Linked DNA regions of Alligator mississippiensis. The protein of the gene in region 2 purifies or fractionates together with the protein of the main gene of each other region. This does not show direct contact. Links are inferred from orthologs where the notes say so. Each region holds a gene or a part of one and is shown on either strand. Other genes may lie near its edges.

The links.
Region 1: the proteins of CAPZA2 (region 2) and SVIL purify together in Homo sapiens (affinity purification with mass spectrometry; 3 studies listed by BioGRID and IntAct, counting the BioPlex papers as one, with this or other methods). This does not show direct contact. The link is inferred for Alligator mississippiensis from reciprocal best matches to the Homo sapiens genes CAPZA2 and SVIL.

What each region holds. Positions count from the first base shown.
Region 1 is NC_081828.1:191,846,442-191,853,615, forward strand, and holds the start of SVIL (supervillin), read left to right. Parts: upstream 1-4,162; 5' UTR 4,163-4,208; coding exon 4,209-4,269; intron 4,270-7,043; coding exon 7,044-7,110; intron 7,111-7,174.
Region 2 is NC_081827.1:49,190,359-49,198,060, forward strand, and holds the start of CAPZA2 (F-actin-capping protein subunit alpha-2), read right to left. Parts: upstream 3,002-7,702; 5' UTR 2,932-3,001; coding exon 2,893-2,931; intron 1-2,892. UniProt on the Homo sapiens protein: F-actin-capping proteins bind in a Ca(2+)-independent manner to the fast growing ends of actin filaments (barbed end) thereby blocking the exchange of subunits at these ends.

The DNA of each region.
Region 1 (7,174 bases), on a different chromosome or scaffold from region 2:
GAGGCTATCATGTAGAGCTGTGCAAATAATGGATTTATTCTTTTGTTGAGGGGATGGGGATCCTGGCCAAAAGACTTCAATTACTTGTTTGGTTTTAGACTAACCCAGAACTTTTTGTTTTAACATTTTGATTATTTTCATTTTGGGTCCAAAATTTAATTCTTAGTTTTACTTTTAAAATACTTTTAATTAAAAAAAAAAAAGTGAATAAAATTTAGGAACTAAGCACTTTAAATTTAGAGACTCAATCACATCTTTTTTTACCCAAAACAATTTGCATATTTGATATTTGAAATCAGCATGAATCCAAGACTGCATTTTTTTTTTTTTTTATCAGAAATGTTTAATAATTTTGCCCTGTTCTTGCTTTTCTCCACCAGGAAACTAGTCTCTTCTTTCTACTACTGTGGCTTTTAATCCTGTCTTTCAAAAAGAGCTGATTTCGGAGCAGACCCATTCTCTTAGTTTCTTAGGATGGGATACTAATGCAGTCACAGATTACACAGAACAGCACATTGGCTAGGGGCAGACATTACACATAAACCAACTTAAGTGATCAGAAACTGATTTAAACCTGTAACAGAACAGACTTTCAGTGCACATAAACCAGTTTGAAAATGGCTGAAACTGGTTTGAGATGAACCTGGTTGAATGTAGTATCAGACTTAACTGATTTGGCTCAAACCGCTTTATGCAATGTCTGTCCCAGACTCCTTGCTGTTTTAAGTTTAAATCAGATTCCCCCAGCATCCTTGCATGCTCTTTGGCTGGGCAGGGCACTCTGCTCCACAGTGGGGCTGGCCCCTCCCCTCTGCTCCCTGTCTGGAGCTCTGGCAGAAACTTGCAGGCACAGCCGGGTCTGCTGGCTCCCCCAGGCCCTCTTCTCCCTCCACCCCCCCCCCCAACAGGAATCCCTTCCTCCTCTTTCCCGCAGCACAGACCATAGCCAGCATGTGTTATGCTAACTAATGCTGAGACGTGTCTGTGTAAGGCAGATAGGACAGTGTCTGCTTAGGGATTTTTGGAGTTAATCAACAGGTCAGCTGGTAAGGTTCCTGCATTCCTTCCTTTGGAAAAAGCTGTATAAGAAAAACCTGAACTAATGAGCGAGGCTTTGTTTTCTGGTGGGGTGCTAAACGCTGATAACAGCTGATAAATGCTCTGTTATCAAAAGCGTCCTGTCCTGGCCCCCTCAGCTCAGCTCACTGGAAGGGAAGGGAGAGATGCTTTAGCACACCCAGCCTTCTAGGCTGAGCTACTGCAGGCATGTGCCTGCATTTTTTTTTCAGTCCAGAGGGGATGACTGTATAGTTACAAACTGATTTAGCCTAGCCAGGTTAGACTAACCTGCAAAGATTGAATCAATTTAGGCTCAGGCTTTTTGAATGTCTGACCCTAGCCATTAGAGCCCATAGGTTCTAAAGTTAGTCCATAGGAAACATATTTCAATTATGTTCTCGTATCGTTTTTTGTTGTACCAGCAGGTGCCTGTAGAATAGACATATGCCCAGGGTGGGTACAGTTGACTGAGTTCTTCCTAAATAAAACTCACATGGAAGATTTGAAGACTTTCTATGCAGTAACAAATACTGGATAAAAAAGCTAAAAAGACTAGAAAGTCCTCCACATTTAGGTTCCTGTCTTGATGGGCAAGACATGCATGCTTGTCTAAAAAGGATTGTGTCCATGAAAAGCAGGGATGAATGAATAATTGCATTAAGGTCACTAGTTTTATGTGAAATGGAACCAAGTAAGGGATAAAGACTATATAGAGAACGCCTATAGAACATTACACTACCTGGTCTTCAAACTGAGTAGGATTAAACAGGAGGCTTAAGGTCAAGGGAGCAAAGGGGGTCCAAAGCATCAACTCCTTTGACCAGGAGATTTTACTTGCTGGATCAGAGGCTTAATTACATGTTCCATATGATCCACTGTTCCATCCTAGGCAACTTTGTACTGCTGAAACCATAGCTAATTTGGCATTCCAATCAGAGGTGACCAAAAAATTGGGGGCAGTAACTCACAAAAATATAGAACATGTATTATCTATTACAACAACACATCAGAATGACAAGCAATGGTTTTGGTGATGTGGGTAGGTATAACTACTGCTCCATGGCAGATTTATCCTCCTACTGCCCCCTTCTTTTGGACTAAATTTTGTACTGGACACTCCTGGGTTTACACCTTAAATGCTATCTTTCCTGATGATGGTTTCTCAGGGCCTTCAGGCATTTCCAGTCATGGCTCAGGGTCCTGTTGTGCTAGGTGTTATGTAGGTACATACATAAGAGATGATCACTGGTCCAAAGTATTTACCAGTGAAATGGGCAAATGGCAGTACGTCTGTATGTTTATAAGTAAGCATTGTTAGCAATCCTGCCTGCGATTTTGACTGTCTTTGGTATTAAAGATTTAAATCCTCTTGGCTAGGGACAGACATTCAAAAAAGCCTGAGCCTGATTCAGTCTTTTCAGATTAGTCTAACCTGGCTAGGCTAAACTGGTTTGTAACTGCGCAGACATCCGAGAAATGCAGGCACATGCCTGCAGTGGCTCAGGCTACAAGCTGGGGATGCTAGAGCAGCCCTCTTGTCCCTTCCACAGCATTGACCTGGGGGGTGGGGGTGGGGAGGGCATGGTCAGACCCTGGGAGGATGCTTTGATTAGCCCAGCAAGGAATTGATTACAATGGTTATCACCCCTTAACTCAGTGTTTATCACCCCATTAAGAAAACAACAGAGGGACATTATCAGCTGCCTGTTGATTCAGCAGGGACTGTAGCCAGCATGTGGTCCTCTAGCTAACGCATAGACAGCTCCCTGCAAGGCAGAGTGGAGGAGGGGAATTCCTTCTTAGCAGGGACTGGTGAGGAGGAGTGGGGAGCAGCCTGCAGTCTGTGCTGGAGCTCCAGCCAAGGGAGCAGAGGGTAAGGGCCAGCCCTGCTGTGGAGCAGAGAGCCCTGCCCAGCTCAGAGAGCATGCTGGGTGTCTGGTTTATATTAAACCAGCAAGGGGTCTAGGACAGATGTTGCATAAACCGGTTTGAGCCAAATAAGTTAAGTCTGATACTACATTCAACCCAGGTTTATCTCAAACCGGTTTTAGCCATTTTCAAACTGGTTTATGTGCACTGAAAATCTGTTCTGTTACAGGTTTAAACCAGTTTCTGATCACTTAAACCAGGTGAATGTGTAATGTCTGTCCCTAGCTCTTGAGTGGAGGAAGAGGGGAAAGAGACTATAATAGTTGAGCAATTATTGCTGTTGGCTGTCTTGTATTCAAGTGCGTGGACTGATTTCTGTTACAGCCATTTTAAAACCTCTTTGTCATGCCTTTGGTTAGTTTGTTCTACTCCTTAGATGATCAGATGCGTCCGATTTGTAGAGCTGTGCGATAACCATCCATTTAGAAGAAGTCCTTTTAGACGTTCAGAAGGGAGTCTAAAGGATTCCATCTGTCTCCATTGCTTGTTTGAATCCATAATCTGAAGCTCTAGCCCAAACTAGACATAGAGGTAGACTTTACTTGTCAGATAAATTGTTCTTATAATTTTACACCTTCTGTCTCGCATTAAAATACTTTGAGTCCTGGTATCTGTTCTTAAATCCCTGCCCCCTAGTTAGTAATTTTGCTCAGATGTTGTTCATAAATCTTTACTGCTTTAGGGTGTGTTCCTTTTTGGCCTAATAGTTGGGCAAATGATGCAGCATTTGTTTAGCATAATGATATGATTAACAGTGTCAGTCCTCTGGTACCCTGAATGCTGTTTTTTGCTTTGTTAGGTAGTGTTTGCAATTTATTCTGATTGATTAGAGATATGAAGGAATTAATCGTCTTTTGGAGAAAATATCTTTCTATATAGATTATTCTTGCTGCAATCTTCTCACTGGAATATAATTTGTGATTTGGCTGGAGCTTTGAAGTGGTAATATTACAAATCTCCCAATCACCATGGTCCAATCTGTTCTAGCATTCATGTGCCTAATTTCTGCTTGTAATCTGATTACTGGCTTGAGCTGCTTCAGTTTGCAGCCTATTGCTATGCATTAACTGTACTCCCCGGGACGCACTAGCCTGACAGCTCCAGTCCTGTGCAATGAAAAATCTCTACACAATATTGCTTAGACAGGCCTAGGGCTGTGGCTGGTTGAGAATTAGCTGCTATTGTAGTTTCTCTTTGCTGAATCCTTTGTTTGTGCAACCATGTTCAGAAATCCTTGGATCTCCAGCTATTTGGGAAATGTTAAATACTCTGAGGAGCAAGGTAAGAGTTCAAAGTGGATAGACAAAGAATGCCGTTTGATTTTTATTCTTTTGTTATAATATATAATAAAAAATAATATGCATGCTGTTTTAGTCTTCCTTAGAAACATTTGTTACTTTAGTATTCACTATTCAGTTAGCCATTTAGTCTGTTTTATTGCTTCCTCAAAGGACACTTTTCAAAAATCTGATTAGATGGATTTTCTAATTAGCTTATCTTGCAGCTGATGTAAGGTCTGTAAATATACTCACAAAGGAAGGTAGTGCCTAGATTTTCCTTATTAATGTTTTAACTGGTATGTATCTAAGTGTGTCTATGTGCTTACCTCATAGTTTGTACCCTGAAATGGGAATACACAGAATGGTTAAACTTATGAACAAGTTCATAATTTACTACTTCAGTATTTTGAACGGTAAATAGGAATACTGAAACTAGTTCTGCTGTGGTTATAAGTGTGTTTATGGTTTGTCTGTGAATGAAGGAACAAAATATTATTACATTGCCATGGTTCCCATTTTGTGTGTCAGGTGATATGTGTTTTTTTGATTAATCATTGAAATAAAGCCATGTTAAAATATTTTTTCTTTACACCCAATTATTCCTCCCAGGAACCATAATTTCTTTATCTACCCTTTCATGTTTGAATCTAACTTCTTAATTTTAAGGTGCACTAGATGCTGATAATGCAGTAAGTTGCCTTTTTATCATGCTTTGAGAAGCACGAGAATGAATTGAGGCAGGGGTATTAACAACTGCATGATGATCAACTTTTTGTGGGAGCAGGTGAGTATGCCTTATGAAAGGCAGCGCAGTTTGAAATGTTCCGGGAGCTCTCAGTGTGAGACAGCAGGACATGTCCCATTGTCAGTGAAGAGTCAGAATAGTACACATAGCCCTCCCCTGTGAACCACTTCCTCTCCTTCTCTAAATCTTAAATTGTGGAAGCTTTTCTCCCCCTTTTTGGCTAATGTGGGTAAGAATATTACTGTGGCCCATTTGTGGGTTCAGCTGTTTCAGTGCCAAAAACTGTAATATAGGTTATTCCTTTAGAATGGTTATAAATCTTACACATGTCTGGTTTTGATTAACCAAACTCATACTGTGTTCAGTTTTTTGTGGAGAATTATTACTTGCTATTCTCACAGTAATATAAATCTGGCTTTTTAGAAAATGTTTGACAGGGAGTATTTTTTTTAAACTATTAGGGTAATGATTTGTAAACCCTTCATAAAGCTTTGTCTTAGTATGTTGTTGTGGTCTTGTAAAATGCCTCTGCTGCGTGATTAGTGAGGTCTATTTTCCATTTAGTTGAAAAGAAACAATGTCAACAAAAAACAGGAAAAGGGCATATTTTAAACTAGAAGAAAGCTGCTTCCTTGTTAGCAAATTTGCTTAAAACACTGAGTTGTTTCACCACTTTAAAGAACAAAGTAATTGGTTAGGCATTTTTTTGCCTCCTTAATTCTTCTAAAGTTGTCTCCTATAAAACTTCTTGCCATATGGAAGGAGAGAATGAGAGCAGTACGGGCAGAAGAGACCTTTTGAAATATGGCCCTTGATAACCAGTCACATTAAACCTAATTATCTTTCTTCCAATACCTTTGCTTATATCAAAGATTCATCTAACTTGTAAAGTAACTGGTCAGGCACATCTTACACCCCAGCACAGTTCAATGACAGTAAAATTTGGCTATATCACATCTACATTAATTGTAAACTGTGCCCTTGAATTGTTTTAATGCTTGTTCATGTAGCAATCAGGTCCTACCTACACTGGGAAATGAAATCTGCTCATCCCTGTCAAGAAACAACCATGTTGTAATTTGGTCTCTTAACCACTGACATCACTTTGCAGGAAGGACCCAGACTCTTCCCTGCCCCCTCCTCCAACCAGGAGTAACTCATGGTATCCTCATTTTTTTGTTTATTTTAAATAACTGCTAATGGCTCATTTCTAGCACAATTTGCTTAGCCACATTTCCTCAATAGTCTGTTAACCATATCAGACTATTGACTACATCTACAGCATGGGTCTCTATAAAGGCTTTGTGTGTTATAAAATGGGTAGACATATCTTTTTAACACTCTTGCATGTAACAGTTTGTTCCCAGACAAACACGAACCAAGGGTGGAATGTATCCATCTCCAGAAATAAATTGAACCTGGTCACTTATTGAGAAATTGTGGTCATTTCCAAATGCTTGGGGGAGCTTGGAGTAATATTTTGGGACATAAGAATCGAATATGTTGTTGCATTAAATAAGTATTTGAGCACATCTTGGTATTTACTGTATACATGTAGATTTTATTAAAATTTGCCTTTGACCAAATCTTGTCACTTTTAGCACTTCTCATGTTTTGTCAAGATTAACTAATTCAGTGCTGTTAGGAATCAACCTGCAGGAAACTGAGTCAAAGATTTTAAATGATTTCCCAAGTTTCACAGAGAATGATATAACCAAAATCAGGATTAGAAGTAAAGAGTTCCTGGCTTCAGCTCTTCTGCGTGTAAAAAAAAAAAAAAAAAAAAAAAAAAAAAAAAATCTGTATATCTCACTTTCACAAACTACATTAAAAAACTTAATGGAACATCCAGTGCATCTACTTTTTTTTCTCAAGACTTTAATTTACCATTGTTTGGTATTTATGTGCATTTATTCAACTGTTGAAGTTAGATGTCATCTTTCCCCCAAAGTCCAGCACTGGAAACAATGATACAACTGTTTAAATCTTGCATGTTCACTGGATGTTTTCTTGTATTTTTTTGTCCTTAGATTTTGACAAAGAAAATTCAGTCAGATTTAGACCCTCAAGACTACTCCATAGAAGGAGGGCACAAAGGTAAAAGACTTTAAAATTCCTATCTGGCACTGTGGCCAATGCCTTGATTATTAAGCTTTATATA
Region 2 (7,702 bases):
CTTCCCTGAATTTCAGTTCTCTCATTAGGATTATGTCTATAGTTCTGCCAACACTGCCTCTTCCATTAGACCACCAGAATCACCAGCACGACTACTACAGGCCCTGCATCAGTGTAGGAGAGTGCCACTGGTACCATCTATTTCTGGCCAATGTTAGTACATTTCTCCTTTCTATACCACCCCATGGCCCCGTCTTAAGAGGGCAAAAAGGGTGTGTTTTTGAACTGTGTTATCTCTATGATTAAAGGCACTGATGTGGTCAAGGCCATTACTATGGAAAACAGAGAAAGAAAAACTCTTGTGCTACATCTTCCCACTTCATTAGGGGGGATAATGCATAACATGAGGGAAGACGTAGTTCAGAAAGGGATACTGGCCTATGGGAAAAAATGATGGCATTAGTTCTCCAAATTATAACTCTCAGAAGTATTACTCTGCAGTGGGGAAACCACTTAGAGTAATTGTTTATTTTTAAAAGTGTAGCAGACAGTAGCTTTTCTGCAAATATGGGTATTTTTCTTCATGTGTATAACTGCTGGTAAATTAAGAATTATTGTTACAAAAATCACAGCTCTATCAATGATTTACTCAGCATGCTAAACTAGTTTGAAGCTGTGCTGGGCCATATTTTAGCTTGAAAAAAGAATGCAAATTCTGACATCATTAAGAAGTGCAACAGAGACATAAGACGTTCTAGAAGAAATTTAGTTAAAGAGCTCCACACATAAGAGAACCTGCTTCTGAATGATTTATACAATGATAATTAAGGGGAGTGCGTCAAACAGTAGAAAAGTTCTACTTGAACAAGTTACCGATTTAAAAATATACTCCCAACTTTATCAAGGGGAAAAAACCCTCATATATCCTGGTGTAAGGGGCAAATGTGGATTTAGTTAAATCCTCCCTAAACACAGTCATCCAAACATGATAATATAGCCGTAGATGAAAGCTTCACAAGTGGCACACATTTCCTCATCAAAGATAGCACACCTTGGACACTTGCTTTTGAAAGCATAAGTGCAGTTCAATCAGAAAATATTTGATTATACCTCAAACACCTTTGCACTTTGATATGCCCTGGATGGTAGATGCATCTCCACTGCAAAGGCTGAGAACATCTGAGTTACAGAACTTCAGTCACATCAGCCTGTCTTGTATAAAGGACTTACAAATGTCTTATTTCCCAATATATATGCTGCCAGTGTTGGGTAAAATCCAGCTACACAAGAAAATCCAAATTTTTTTGCAGGATTGAACTGGATAAAAGAATCAATGGCTCCGTTCTTGATGGAAGAGAAGGGGAAAAGAAAACAATTCTAATGCTCCTACTTCTTTTTAGCACAGGTGGGGGGAGAAGGGGGGAAGATAGGAAGTAGGGAGGCTCTAAGCTTTTAGCACTTCAAATGGGAAGGTGTGTGTGGAAAAAGCACCACAAAGCAACTTGAACTGTAACTGGGACAAGTACACATGCCCCATGGAAAAAAAAAAAAGTACTGGGAAATGGAAGGCTTCCTGCAGGTCATTAAGCTCCACGGTGCCCCCAGACCTACAATGGTGCCCAGTGTTCACTTGCAGCACTGAGGTGTAGATGTTGATTTTACAAGCCTGGAGAATCAAGAGTTTGTTTGGGAAAAGAAAAAAACAGAATGTTTTTGGAAAAAAGCAAGCCCAGAACTTCATCAGATTGGTGACAAGGGAAAGAGAAACTCAGAGAAACACCATTATGTGGCATGAGCTGGAAAAGGGGGCAGAAGTGATAGGTTGGAGTCAGTGCAAAGCAGCAGCAATGTGTATTAATAAGTATAGTGGCAAATACTTTTTAGCAGCGTAAATGCTGAGGCTTATTTTTTATTTAGTTTACCCTTTGACATACTAACTAAATACCTTCTACCAGGGCAAACTAACACTTTACAGGCTCTTCCCAGGTCACTGTGGGTGCTCCAACAGAGGCAAGAGTCTTAGGGTAGGGGTGATATTTTTTGTTAGACCAACTTAATAGTTGGAAAAAAAATTATTTGCAAGCTTTTGGGGCACAAACACCCTTCTTCAGGCATTGGGAGACTGCTGCTATGAGCTCTCAACCAACAACCAAGTACTGGAAGCATTTTTCGTTCAGCTCCCTGATCTGCAACTCAGTGCTGCAAACATGGAGGGACTCCCTGGCTACAGTGAACATGAAGGCATGTTAACCCCCACCCTCATGTCAAAGATATCTGAAGCTTCATTTATTCTCTCTCACATCTGAATCATCTCCACAGGTTCAGCAGCCCCCTAAACTGACCTTTCCATCCAAAACAAAAAAAGGGAGAAACCCAGAGGAGAAGAATTAGGTGAAGTGCATCCCCGCGCTGCACACACACCAGCACCACCACCACCACACCCTGGTCCCGGAGCATTAGCGGTGAGCAGAGGGAGGAAACGGCGGCACGGCCGGGCTCTGCAGCCGCCCCTCCTCCCAGGGGCATCTCCGGGGCAACTCTCGCGCCACAGCAGCCCTGTGGGCAAGGGCGGCGGCACCCAGAGCCGGGCACCGAGCTCCCTTCCTAGCGTGTTGCTTCCCTTCGCCCTGCCCACACGGCCCCGGGCCGCGCCCCTTCACCTGCCCGGGGCCGCTCCTTCACCCAGCACCGGGGGAGGGCCCCCTGGCGACTCCGGGGGCGGGGCGGGGCGGCAGAGACCCGGAAGGGCGAGGCTGAGCGCCCAAGGCCCCCTCCCCCGCGGCGGCTCCTATTTTCGGCGCTCGGACCGTACAAGGAGCGGCGCGGAGAGGTCCCCGGGCCGGGGCCGCCGCTCGCCGCCCCGCGCCCGCAGGCCCCGGTCCGGCCCCGCCAACTGCCAGGCGCCGTCGCGGGCTGGGGTTGCAGCGGGGGGGGCCGGGCGGGGCCGCCTCACCTTCTCCTCGTCCGACAGCTGCTCGTCCAGGTCCGCCATCTTCCCGTCCGGCAGCGACCGCCGGGCGCCTCCCTCTGCGCGGCAGGGCGGAGCCGCGCGCTCCCTGCGCCGCGGGGCGGGGCCGTCGCCGGCCAATGGAGGGCGCGGGAAGGCGCATGCGCACTGCGGGGCGGGAAGGCGCATGCGCACCGCGGGGCTTGGGGGGCGGGGCGGGATGGAGCCGGGCGGCCTCAGCGCCCCTCCCCCCGGCGGGGGTGGCCTGTGACCGGTTGCGCCTGCGCGGGCGCCGCGGGGTGTTGGCCTTTCGCGGCCGCGGACGGGGTGACCTGGAGCGTGCCGGAAATAGATACGTCTCCAGGCGACTGCTTGAGGGGCCAGGGATAGATCGGGCATTCTTTCAAATTGAAATAAATATTAAATGTTGAATCTAATTTATGCAGGAGTGCAGTGGGTTTTTTCAATGTAATAGTAATGCCTTGCTGAGTACAGGACAGTAGATCAGTCATTAATGTCGTTACATCCTGTGACGAAACCTCCCGGAGTAGATTCACACGGAGCTGGGGACGCTGCCAGGGGCACCTGCTTGCGCCAGGGGGTGCCTGGTTGTGTCTGAGGGAGACCGAGCAAGGACAGGCCCCCGGGCTTGAAAACTGCCATCAGAGCCTCAGAGGTCCTGTTTTAACAAGTGTGGATGGGACAGCCCAGCCTGAGATACCAGACACATTGGAGAGAGACCCGTGGAGGGCAAGGAAAATGGCGAGGGGGCTGGGACACATGACTTGTGAGGAGAGGCTGAGGGAGCTGGGCTTATTTCATCTGGAGAGAAGGTGGCTGAGGAGGGATGTAATAACAGCTTTCAACTACCTGAAGCGGGGTTATAAAGAGGATGGAGCTAGACTGTTGTCAGTGGTGGCAGGTAGCAGAACACAGAGCAACGGGCTCAAGTTGCAGGAAGGGGAGTTTAGGTTAGATATTAGGAAAAAACTCTCGGGGCGGTAGTAAAGCACTGAAACAGGTTGCCCAGAGAGGTTCCGAACTGTCCATCCTTGGAGGTTGTTCAGACCCAGCTAGACAAAGCCTTGGCTGGGAGGATCTGGTTGGGGATGGTCCTGCTTTGAGCAGGGGTTAGACTAGCACTAGATGACCTGAGGCCCTTTCCAACCCTCGCTTTGTATGATCCTGCTACCCAAGACTTGCAGCCTCTGGCTGTTTTCCTTCATCATCACAGCAACAACAGCACCTCAACACTCCCTAGGACACTGCTGTCATTTAGCAGTGCACAAATGTGCATGAGACCTCAAAGACATACACAAAACTAGAGCTCTTGGTTCCAAGAATTGGTTCAAGAATTCTTGGAACCAAGAGTTCTAGTTTTTTGTATGTCTTTTTGTCTCAGACCAACACGGCTACCAAGTACACCCCTGAAACATGAGGTTCAAGTGGTTTTTTGAGGGATTGCAAGGGCATGCAATCATTGTCAGGGACTGGGCTTGATGGCCCATGAGTCCCTTTCCACTCCTGTGTTCCTGAACATTGATGATGTGTAAGGGGTGCATGCAGGTGCATGTGCACCCCACTGAGAGGCCACCACCGATGCTGCAGGCGGTGCCTGCGAGTGGCCACCACTTGCTACCCCTGTCCCCCCCCCTCCACTGCCAGTGGCATTTGCGGACAGTTGCTGATTGCCACTGGCTCTCACCATTCCCCCTTTGCCACCGACACCACCATGGCCTCCTGTAGATGGTCCCTGCTCGGCCCACCCTCACCACCAACATCACCACGGCTGCCTGTGGACGGTCCCTGCTCACTGCTGTTGCATCCCTGCCACCGCGGCTGCCACCTGCGGGCGGTCGCCATGTCCCTCCCAGCCACAGGAGGCACAAGATGTTCATGTTCCTGAATATTTTTTGTCCTTAACATGTGACCGTGTCACTGTAAATAGTATTTTCTTCGCTGCCTCTCCTGGCACACAAGTGTCTCATTCAAATTCTACTTCAGAGTCCAGGCTGCTGCATGCTCACCTTTAGAAGCACCATTGCATGAATAACACTATTCTGAGTAAGTCCGCACACGTGAGGGAGGATACAATTTAAGCTCATCTGAAGATGGAAAATTGATCCAATATTAAATAGATATTGAAACGTAAGCACTTGTGTGTCAGGGTTGACAGAAGTTTTACTAAGAGATTAGAGTATGGATTTGTATTCAATGGTTTGCATAGGAATGGTCTCAGGCAGGGGATTGGACTAGATGTGACCTGTGGAGGTCTCTTCTAGCCCAACTTTCCTTTGATTAGTATTCTATGATTCACACTCTTTGGATCAGTCTGAATTACTGTACATTTTGGCCACATTTGCAGCAATCTATCAGACCTCACACCAGGGTTAAATTTACTCTATTAATATATAATTATCATACATCTATCAACACAAAGAGAGGCATACATAGAGAGAGAGGCTAGAAGGAGAGTGGTTGGCTTTCCTACTAAACAATCGTTAGCCTGTCTTGCACAAATGAGAAGTGCATGGCACACCAAGGATGGAATCAGAATGCCCTTTAGCAATGGGTGGACACACAACTAACAAAGCCTTTCCCAGGCTGGGATAAGCATCTCCTCTTTACTTTTTTTCCCCCAGAAATCCCAATTGAACTTTTCCCTGCACTGTTATCAGCAAGAATGAGCTCCTCATACTTTCAGACAGATTGAACTCAGGTTTTGGTAATTGCAGGAATGCCATGAAGCAAATGTTAGTAGCTCTGGGTTATACACAAATAACTGAAACATATTGGGCTTCACTTACTCCTGTTGTTGGGTCAGCAATAATCTATAGCTCCTACTCGAGTGTCAGAATATATTGCAAGCGGCATCAGTCTGGTTTGTAGGGGGCAAAAGGGCTGTAGTGTGAGGCTGAGTGCTACAGACCAGTCAGCATTTTCAGAATTAAACATTTTGATTTTGATGTTTCCATGTGCAATTCTGTGCAATTCTTACCTTCTTCATTTCAGTAGTAAAATTAGTCATTTAAACATGCTCACTGAAAATTCATGTGGGCAGACACGCAGTTAAAAATGCCCAGATTTTCAGACACCCACTCAGCAATATGTCTAAGGCATGCAAGCACATACTGCTGCTTATGGGAGAGAATGGAGTTTCTGGGGTCCTCCTTGCCTTCCCATGTCCCTGTGACAAGGTATTTACCAGAACTCACAGACTCATTGGGATGTGACATGGCTGCTCTGTGAACACTTCTGCTATAATCTAGAACGTGCAACCTCTGGGCTATCAACCATGCACCTTACTGCCACACCACCTTGAAAATGGCTTCTTCAAGTTTCAAGGAGTAGAATTTCCTTGGGAGTTTGTGGGAGGGAGTTTGGAGGCTTTCCTTCATACAGCATGCGTCTACATGTGCGCTGGATTGCACAGTTGTTTCTGCACAGTTTAGTACTTGCTTGAGCAAGTACTAAATGACTGCGTAGTAACCAATGTTACTGCGCAATCCTGACACTGCACGGGTCATTTCTGACACTACTGTGCTGTAGCAACAAGCTACTGCACAGTAGCTCATCATTACAACAACATGGTGTCTCATGTAGACCCACCCATAGAGGTACAGTTTCACCTCAGCAGCAAGGATGCTGGCAGTGAATAAGTGGTCAGGTAAGTAGCATGAGGAAGATTTTGTCTTGTGGAACATTACAGTGAGAGAGGAATATTGAGGTGCTTAGTATGGAAAAAGGGGGGATTGCATTATTCTGATGTCTTCCACCTCAGTAATGGGGCTACCAATAACTTGAGTGATAAACTAAGTAGACTAGCTGGCAGAGCTTTAAACTAACACTAAACAGGAATGAAACCATTCAAATGTGTAAATAAGCCCCAAAGTATCACACAGGAAATCTGAGCGCACATGAATAGGTAAGGAACATGTATTTTATCTATGTATTAATACTAGGAACTTAGGTTATAAGAGGAGTTGGAGATGTTCAAATGTGAAAAGAAATATGAAATGGTTTTCATATTTTTACTAAAATGTGGTGAGGTGGATCATATGATTGGAATGCTAAAGTTGATGCGTACTCCTTCTGCTACAAGGATGGGAATTGACAGGTTTTATATTAGACTCCCATGTGGTTTATAGAATCATAGACAATTCAGAATCACAGGGCATATCTACACATGTAAGTAATGCAAAGCAATAAACTATGGAGTTTATTGCCATTTGAACATTCACCCAGGACCACAGCATGTTGAACTGGGTTGGAACAGCCCTGTCTGGCAGGGGATCCAAGGGATTAGCCTGCCAGCCCAGGACTGCTGCTCCCCTGTGCTCAGCCTACTGTGGAAGGGCTGGCTGGGGCACAAAGCTGCTTCAGTGCAGAGCTAGCTGGCAGGCAGCTCCCATGCTGAAGCACCCTCATGCCCCAGCCAGCAAGTGTAGAGTCTTTCCACTGCTGTGGAGTTTTTTTCTAGTACTATCCTGCTGCAGAGTAAATTAGTTTACTCCAGCCTATATGGGAGCATGCAGTGGCGATGTGTAGGGGATGCACAGGGGTGCATGTGCACCCCCTGAGAGCGCTGGTGCACCCCCTGACCAGCCACACTCACCACTTAGATGAAGGGCAGGGGGCAGGCAGGAGTTCCAGTGCCCACCCTGCAAGTGCCAGCTGGGGAGTGACACTCCCAGAAGAGGCCGCAGTGATTGATCGGCCACCTCGTGATCGGCCCCGACTGTTGCTGTGGGGGCATGTACCTCCCCTGACTAAGGTGGCACCAGTTGCCCATGTAAGCATGCTAATTAGTCTGCTG